Macaca mulatta: one gene and its partner. The protein of the gene in region 2 binds, or shares a complex with, the protein of the main gene of each other region. Links are inferred from orthologs where the notes say so. Each region holds a gene or a part of one and is shown on either strand. Other genes may lie near its edges.

Region 1 (3,904 bases), about 5.5 Mb from region 2:
CAAAGTGCTGGGATTACAGGCTTGAGCCACCGCGCCTGGCCAGGATGGTCTTGATCTCCTGACCTCATGATCCGCCCATCTCGGCCTCCCAAAGTGCTGGGATTACAGGCTTGAGCCACCGCGCCTGGCCAATTTTTGTAGTTTTTAGTAGAGACAGGGTTTCACCATCTTGGCCAGGCTGGTCTCGAACTCCTGACCTCATGATCCACCCACCTTGGCCTCCCAAAGTGCTGGGATTACAGGCATGAGCCACTGCGCCTGTCCTATTTATTTATTTATTTATTGAGACGGAGTCTCGCTCTGCGGCCCAGGCTGGAGTGCAGTGGCCGGATCTCGGCTCACTGCAAGCTCCGCCTCCCGGGTTCACGCCATTCTCCTGCGTCAGCCTCCCGAGTAGCTGAGACTACGGGCACCTGGCCCAGCTAATTTTTTGTATTTTTAGTAGAGATGGGGTTTCACCGTGTTAGCCAGGATGGTCTCGATCTCCTGATCTCGTGATCTGCCCACCTCAGCCTCCCAAAGTGCTCGGATTACAGGCATGAGCCACTGCGCCCAGTAACGTTATTTTACTAAATCCTGTCTCTGAATGCAAGGGATACCTGGCCTGTTTTTATTCACCATCACTGTAGGTTGCTGAGTAAATGCTGAATTAATGAATGCATCACTGAGTCAGTGACTGATTGCCTTCACACAGCGAGTGCTGGGCTGGGATCCTCCGTGAATCTGGGGAGGTGAGGTTTGCAAAGACAGGACGGATCTGGGGTGGGGAGATACCCAGGCTAGGCTGGCACTCAGGGGAGAGGACAGAGGTGAAGGGACTTAAAAAGCACCTAGAGATATGCCTAGCTCTACCTAAGACTCTCAGTTAACCGCCTAAAGTAGGGACACTTTTTGCCATTGCACAGGTAGGGAAACTGAGGCCCAAGGGCATTAACCCTGACCTGGCCTGGAGCCAACAGAGGAAACCCTGTACAGTTTGATGCACAAATATTTAAAGAGTTCCCACTAGGCTCCCCGACCGTCCCTAGGAGCCGAGCTGCCCCTTGACCCATTCCAGGCCTCAGTTTCCCCGCCCACACTTCGCCCCCGCCTCATGGGATTCTAAACTGTCGCCGCAACGTGGGAGTTGAACGGAAACTACAACTCCCAAGAGGCCGTGCAGCCAAAGACACACGAGAACTACGGAGGGAGAGTCTCGCGCAGCAAACTGCCGTTCTCGCAAGGCTCGGGCTGCCCTTGGCGCTGCCGATCCCGGAAGTTGCTGCATTCAGGCGTTCGCCGACGACAGCCCATCGCGGGGCGGGGTTACGTGGAGGGGGCCTGATTGGGAGTCGGCGCAGGCGCAGTCCGCGCGGGTTCTCGCAGGCAAAACGGGTGCGAGTGGCGGCGATGGACGACGAGGAGGAGACGTACCGGCTCTGGAAAATCCGCAAGACCATCATGCAGGTGAGCCGCGCGTGGTGTTGGGGGCGGGGGCGCGAGCAGCAGGTGCAGGGGCCCGAGGCGAGGTCGAGCTCGGCGTCTCCTCGTACTCCCGTCGCAGCAGCAGCGACGGAGGGCCCGGCCGACACGGGAGGCCCCGAGGCCGCCGGGGATCCCAGGCGCTGGGCCCGACCTGAGCCGGCAGCGGGGAAGGGAGGGGGTTTCGAGACGTCTGGGTGCGGGGCTTAGCGGTGGGCGGGCGGCTTGGGCTGGTGCGGCGCACATGGCGGCGAGAGGAGGAAGGTGCGAATGGGGACGGGGGGCGCCCCCAGACCCTGCCCCTCTCTGTGATTCAGCGTCGCCATTTGTCCTTGCGTCCTGAACCCCAGGGCGTCTCAGCATCCGAGGCTGGCGGAGTTGGTGGTTGGGAAGCAGCAGGCGAGCTGGGGCTTTCGATGGGGACGTGGAGCCCGGAACCCGTGCCTCGGGGTCTGAGACAGATGGAGGCCACTGGGCCGACTCCGGTTTGGAAACTGGGCAAAGGTCTGAGGGCCTGCGGTTCAGGGTCCTCCCTCAGCCGTTGGGGCCGTTTGGGAGCTTTTGTTTTGTCTTGCTTCCCCACCCCCTATGCCCTTGTCTTTAGCGAAGCCCCCCGCAGCCTGATTCTCCTTCCTCCGGGCCGCAAACATTGTCAGCCTGAAGTCACATTTGTTTCGGTCCCTGTCTTTTTTTTTTTTTTTTTTTTTTTTTTTTTTTTAAGAGACAAGCTCTCACTCTGTCGCCCAGGCTGCAGCGCAGTGGTGCAGTCATAGCTCACTGCATCCTTGAACTCCTGGCCTCAAGCAGCCCTCCTGCCTCGGCCTCCCTGAGCTCTGGGGTCGTGGACGTGACCCCCCACGCCCCGTCTTTGTCCCTGTCTTTAGGGTAGCTCTGCAAAGTGGTTTGGAGGGCTTTGCCCCCTGCCAGGTTCCTGTGAGGCTGGATAGACGGACGGTCTTGGTCAAGGCTGGACACCTCTGCGAGCCTCTCGGGATCACGCTGGTCCCATCCTGTGGTGTGGGGCTGTGGGGGCCAGGATGGCTGTCATGGGGCACACAGCGAGTGTTCATTCCGTTTGCTGTTCACCTCTGTCCTCTGCAGCAGCCGCAGGTCTGACTTCTGGGTCACGAGCTCTGGCCGCCTTCCTGTCTCTGCCCTGGGGTCAGCTGGTTCTTTCTCTCTGCAGCTGTGCCACGACCGTGGCTACCTAGTGACCCAGGACGAGCTTGACCAGACACTGGAGGAGTTCAAAGCCCAATTTGGAGACAAGCCGAGTGAGGGGCGGCCGCGGCGCACTGACCTCACGGTGCTGGTGGCCCACAACGATGACCCCACCGACCAGATGTTTGTGTTCTTTCCAGGTGAGCAGCGGGTCCCGGGGGAGTTCTGGTGGAGCCGCCCGAGCACCTGCTGAGGAGCCGGCCGCTAGCACCCACCCCCTCCCGCCTCGTGCCCAGCGTTTGATCCTCTGCCCAATCTGGGAGGAAAACTTCCCCTCCTCTTCCTTGCTGTGGGCGATGCCGTGGACCTCTGACCCCTCTCATGCGCAGCCTCTTTCTGGTTTCCCTCTCATCGGTCCCCTTTCTTCCTGCCAACCAGGAGAGTCCCATGGACCTCCCTACTCACCCGCAGCCCCTCATGACCTTTGCCCTACCTGTGTTCCTTGGCTCCCCCATCCTGGCCGTTGGGTGCACTTCCAGCTTCTTGGCCTGGCCCAGGAGGCCCCGTGTGGGTCAGCGCAGCCTCCTTGTGAGCTGTGGCCCCTGTCTGCCCCAGCCCATTCCTCTGCACCCCATGCCGCCTCTGCCTTGTCAGCGTCCGCTACTCATCCCTCGAGGTTGTGCTCAGGCCGCTTTTCCCGGGACCCCTGGGACCCTCGGTTTCAGCACCTGGACCGTGGAAGTCTCCCCACCTGTCTGCCCCCCCCCAGGATGGCTCTAGCGCCCTCAGTGGTTGGGGGACTACCAGCGCCTAGGGACACAGCCGCGTGCCCAGAATTAATCAGTGGGGTGGACGGAGCGTGTCTGCCAACCGGGTGATGCTACTGCTTTTTTTTTTTTGAAAGTCTCATTCTGTCACCCAGGTGGTGCAGTGGTGCCATTTCGGCTCGCTGCAGCCTCCACCTCCTGAGTTCAAAATTCTCCTGCCTCAGCTTCCTGAGTAGCTGAGACTGCAGGCACCCACCACCATACCTGGCTATTTTTTTTTTTTTTTGTATTTTTGGTCGAGATGGGGTTTCACCATGTTGGCCAGGCTGCTTTCAAACTCCTGACTTCAGGTGATCTGCCTGCCTCGGCCTCCCAAAGTGCTGGGATTACAGGCGTGAGCCACTGCGCCCGGTCTTCTTTTTTTTTTGAGGCTGAGTCTCTCTCTCTGTCACCCAGGCTGGAGTGCAGTGGCGCAATCTCGGCTCACTGCAACCTCCACCTCCTGGGTTGAAGCA
Region 2 (3,904 bases):
CTGTAACCCTCGAGAGGACACTGTAACCCTCGAGAGGACACTGTAACCCTCGAGAGGACACTGTAACCCTCCGTTGGGAGCTGGTTTGACAGATTCACCTTGCGGGGCCCCGAACCCAGGAGGTGCTCGAGTATTTCCGAAGTGGAGCAATGAATGGTTGCGCCGTGAGCATGCGCAGTTGTGTTACTGCCATGACTGGGGCGTGTGTGCATGCCTGGAACGGGGTAGGGGATCCTGCATCTCCCTACTGTTCTCTGCAGCCTCCTTCCCTTCCCCCCAGGAAGCCAGCCAGCCGCCCCCGCGACGTTACCCTTCTCCTGGGGCCTCAGAGCCCTGCCCATCTCGGGCAGCTTGGACTTGCAGAGACCCATCCAGCCAGCAGGCCTTGGGGTGGTCGCTCCCCGACCCCGCCCAGGCTCTGACCCCTCCTGGCTCCGCACAACGTCACAAGGGTCCCCGCCCCGGTCATTTTGCGACAATGACGGGGTCCATTCCTTCGGGGGAGGAAATGAACCCCAAACAGGCCCATGGGGAGCCAAGCAGCGGTTCGACCCAACCGGAGTAGGCCTCGGTTGCTATGGTGACGCGGCCTTCTTGGCCCTCCCCAACCCCGGTCCAGAGCGATATGGCGCATGCGCAAAGTGCCTGGGGGCCCGCAAGGAGGACTCTTCTCCCTCTCCCCACCCAGGATGCCCCGCGGTCCTTGGGTGTGACGTCACGAGGGAGGGCGGCCCCCCATTTGATGAAGTTAACTGTGTTGTATAAAAGAGCGCCAGCGACAGAGGCCGGTTAGTTTATCTCAGACTCGGCCTGGGTTTGCTGAGTCTAAGAAGGGACCGTGGTGGCCCTTTTGAGGTGACCATAGCCGCCGAGGAGCATAAGTGACTGCGCATTGAGGCGGCCACAGTGGCTAAGAAGGTTGCCATCGCGACGCGGCCGCTGGAGGGTTTCGCTTCCGGGTTAAGCGGCCGCAGAAGCGTAGACGGAGTAGCTGCAGCGCCTCTTCCGGTTACCTTTTCCCAGTGCCGGAGGCGCCTGGGGTTGGGGTCTTCGCTCAGGGACAGAGACCCGACAGCGAGCGGCGGCTTGCCCGGGATCGAGGGACGCGCACGCCAGAGGAGACGAAAGGAACCCGGGTCGGACCAGATCGGAACCACTGACCATAGCCCATGGCGGCCCTAGTGAGTGTGGATTTGGCGGGGTTCCGGGGTCCCGACGGCGACCTCGGCAACTCCTCACTCACCGTCCGGTTCCTCTTTCCGCAGGGCCCTAGCAGCCAGAATGTCACTGAATACGTCGTTCGAGTTCCCAAGTAAGTGTCCAGCCCCATCTCCCCCTCCTCTCCACCCTCCAAAAATGAAAACCTTCACGGTCTTCTTAGCCAGGCGTTTCTGGCCCTGTCTGTGATTCTCCCTCCAGACTGGGAGAGACTTGGAGGGCAGGGCTGGGATTAAGCTGAGGCTTCCCTGGAGACAACCCTGCTTTTTTAAACGAATGAATGAATGAGTGCATTAATAACACGGCGATCCAGCCCCCTGGCCTAACCTTCGATCCCATGATGCTCAGGCCAGCTGTAAAGAACATATTCCTCGTCCTGTTTCAAAATGGTCGGGCTATCTTTCCTTTCTAGGCTTTTGTACATCCTGTTCCCTCTGCCATGAGTGCCTCCCCTCAACCCCTAAACTGTGACTCTGCTGGGTGAATTCTTGTTGATTCTACAAAGCTCAGCTCCAGTATCTTCCTCCTCCAGGAAGCCCTCCATGCCTGTCCTCCCTCCTCCCCAAGGCTGAGTTCACAATAATCTCCACATCTTGGGTTCCCTCAAATCTTTGTCCCTCCATCTGCTCTTCTTCTGCCTGGGGTCAAGAGGGGATGGGTCTAGCTTCTCTGGCAGACTGGGAATCCTTGGAGTCTTCTGTATCCAGTGTTGCCAGGCAAAACAGGCTGAATGAATCGAATCGGGGTGGGTTTGTTGAGTGATTGAATTGAATAAATGATTCAATTGAATGGAATGATTGAATTGAATTGATGGTTCAATTGGATTGAGCGATTGAATTAATGATTTGATTGAATTAATGATCCAGTTGGATGGCTGATTGAATTAATGGTTCAATCGCATTAATTCATTAAATTAATGATTGAACTGCTGTATTGGATTGACACCACCTCTTTCTAATCCACTCCAGGAATACAACCAAAAAATATAATATCATGGCTTTTAATGCAGCCGATAAAGTCAACTTTGCTACGTGGAATCAGGTAAGTCCCTGGGTCCTGGGGGTTGGGAGCTGGGGTGGTGGGAGAACATGACCCTGACCTTGGTGATTGTAATAGTTGCTTAACTGTCATAGTAACTAAGTCTTAATTTTCTCACTTTTCTCAAAATGAAGAAAAGATAGATGACAAAGGATTGGGTGCAGTAGTTCACACCCCTGATCTCAGCACTTTAGGAGGCCGAGGCAGGAAGCTTGCTTAAGGCTAGGAGTTCAAAACCAGCCTGGGCAATGTAATAGCAAGACCCCAACTCTACAAAAAAATTAAAAAATTAGCTGGGGCTGGTAGTGTGGGTCTGTAGGCCTACATAGGAGGCTGAGGTAGGAGGATCGCTGGAGCCCAGGGGTTCAAGGCTGCAGTGAGCTATGATTGCATCACTGCACTCCAGCCTGGATAATAGAGCAAGACCCTGTCTCAAAAAAAAAAAAAAAAAAAAAAAGTCCGGGTGCCATGGCTCAAGCCTGTAATCCCAGCACTTTGGGAGGTCGAGGCGGGTGGATCACGAGGTCCGGAGATCGAGACCATCTTGGCTAACATGGTGAAACCCCGTCTTTACTAAAAAAATACAAAAAAGTAGCCGGGCGAGGTGGCGGGCGCCTGTAGTCCCAGCTACTTGGGAGGCTGAGGCAGGAGAATGGCGTGAACCTGGGAGGCGGAGCTTGCAGTGAGCTGAGATCCGGCCACTGCACTCCAGCCTGGGGGACAGGGCGAGACTCCATCTCAAAAAAAAAAAAAAAAGAATGACAAAGGCCCAGGTCAAGCTCCTGGGTGTCCCTGTAAGTTAGGTTTGGTAGGCCCACCGGAGGCCTCTCCTTAAAGGAGAACATTCAGAAGTTGTGCCCACCGATGGGCATTTTTGACCAGGGTTTATCTGGGCAAGGGAGGGGACTGGGCTGGGGGCTTTCCCAGAGCCCCTGCCATCAGAGGCTCTAGAAAGGAGTTTGGGAGCCATTAAAGTGTTTTCAACTGGGAGGTTGTAGTGTGATCTGGCTGTTGTGGGGAGACAGACTGTGGGTTTGAGGGCAGTTAAAGGGAGACCGGGTAGAAGCAACTGGTCTGGTCTAGGTGAGTCCTGGTGGGCACTGGGGGCAGTGGAGGTTATGAGATGTGGCTGATTCTAGAGTGTTTTGGAAATGGTATATATGGACCTTAAATCAAGAGCTTAAGGGTAATTTGGATCATATTAGCCACATAGGTCACGATAAATGGTAACATTTGTAGAGATTTTGGTGCCTTAATGTCAGCAAATGTTGCACAATGAGATTCTTTTTATTTATTTTATTTATTTATTTTTTGTGATGGAGTCTCTTGTTGTCCAGGCTGGAGTGCAATGGCACGACCTGGGCTCACTGCAATCTCCACCTCCCAGGTTCAAGCCATTCTTCTGCCTCAGCCTCCCAAGTACAGGTGCCTGCCACCACGCCCAGCTAATTTTTGTCTTTTTATGAAGTTTCGCCATGTTGGTCAGGCTGGTCTTGATCTCCTGACCTCAAGTAATCCACCTGCCTCAGCCTCCCACCGTGCCCGGCCTTTTTATTTTTTAAAAATAGATATAGAGTCTCACTATGTTGCCTAGGCTGGTCTTTTCTTTTTCTTTTTTTTTTTTTTTTGAGACGGAGTCTCGCTCTGT

Evidence for each region.
Region 1: GTF2F1 (region 2) and POLR2E share a complex: the UniProt entries of both Homo sapiens proteins name them as parts of the TBP-based Pol II pre-initiation complex. The link is inferred for Macaca mulatta from reciprocal best matches to the Homo sapiens genes GTF2F1 and POLR2E.

The regions. Positions count from the first base shown.
Region 1 is NC_133424.1:1,753,113-1,757,016, reverse strand, and holds the start of POLR2E (DNA-directed RNA polymerases I, II, and III subunit RPABC1), read left to right. Parts: upstream 1-1,344; 5' UTR 1,345-1,389; coding exon 1,390-1,446; intron 1,447-2,647; coding exon 2,648-2,822; intron 2,823-3,904. UniProt on the Homo sapiens protein: DNA-dependent RNA polymerase catalyzes the transcription of DNA into RNA using the four ribonucleoside triphosphates as substrates.
Region 2 is NC_133424.1:7,269,338-7,273,241, reverse strand, and holds the start of GTF2F1 (general transcription factor IIF subunit 1), read left to right. Parts: upstream 1-927; 5' UTR 928-1,169; coding exon 1,170-1,181; exon of another isoform or gene 1,182-1,246; intron 1,247-1,265; coding exon 1,266-1,312; intron 1,313-2,186; coding exon 2,187-2,259; intron 2,260-3,904. Other genes in the region: adenylate kinase isoenzyme 1, read right to left, coding at 311-494, 861-926. UniProt on the Homo sapiens protein: TFIIF is a general transcription initiation factor that binds to RNA polymerase II and helps to recruit it to the initiation complex in collaboration with TFIIB. It promotes transcription elongation.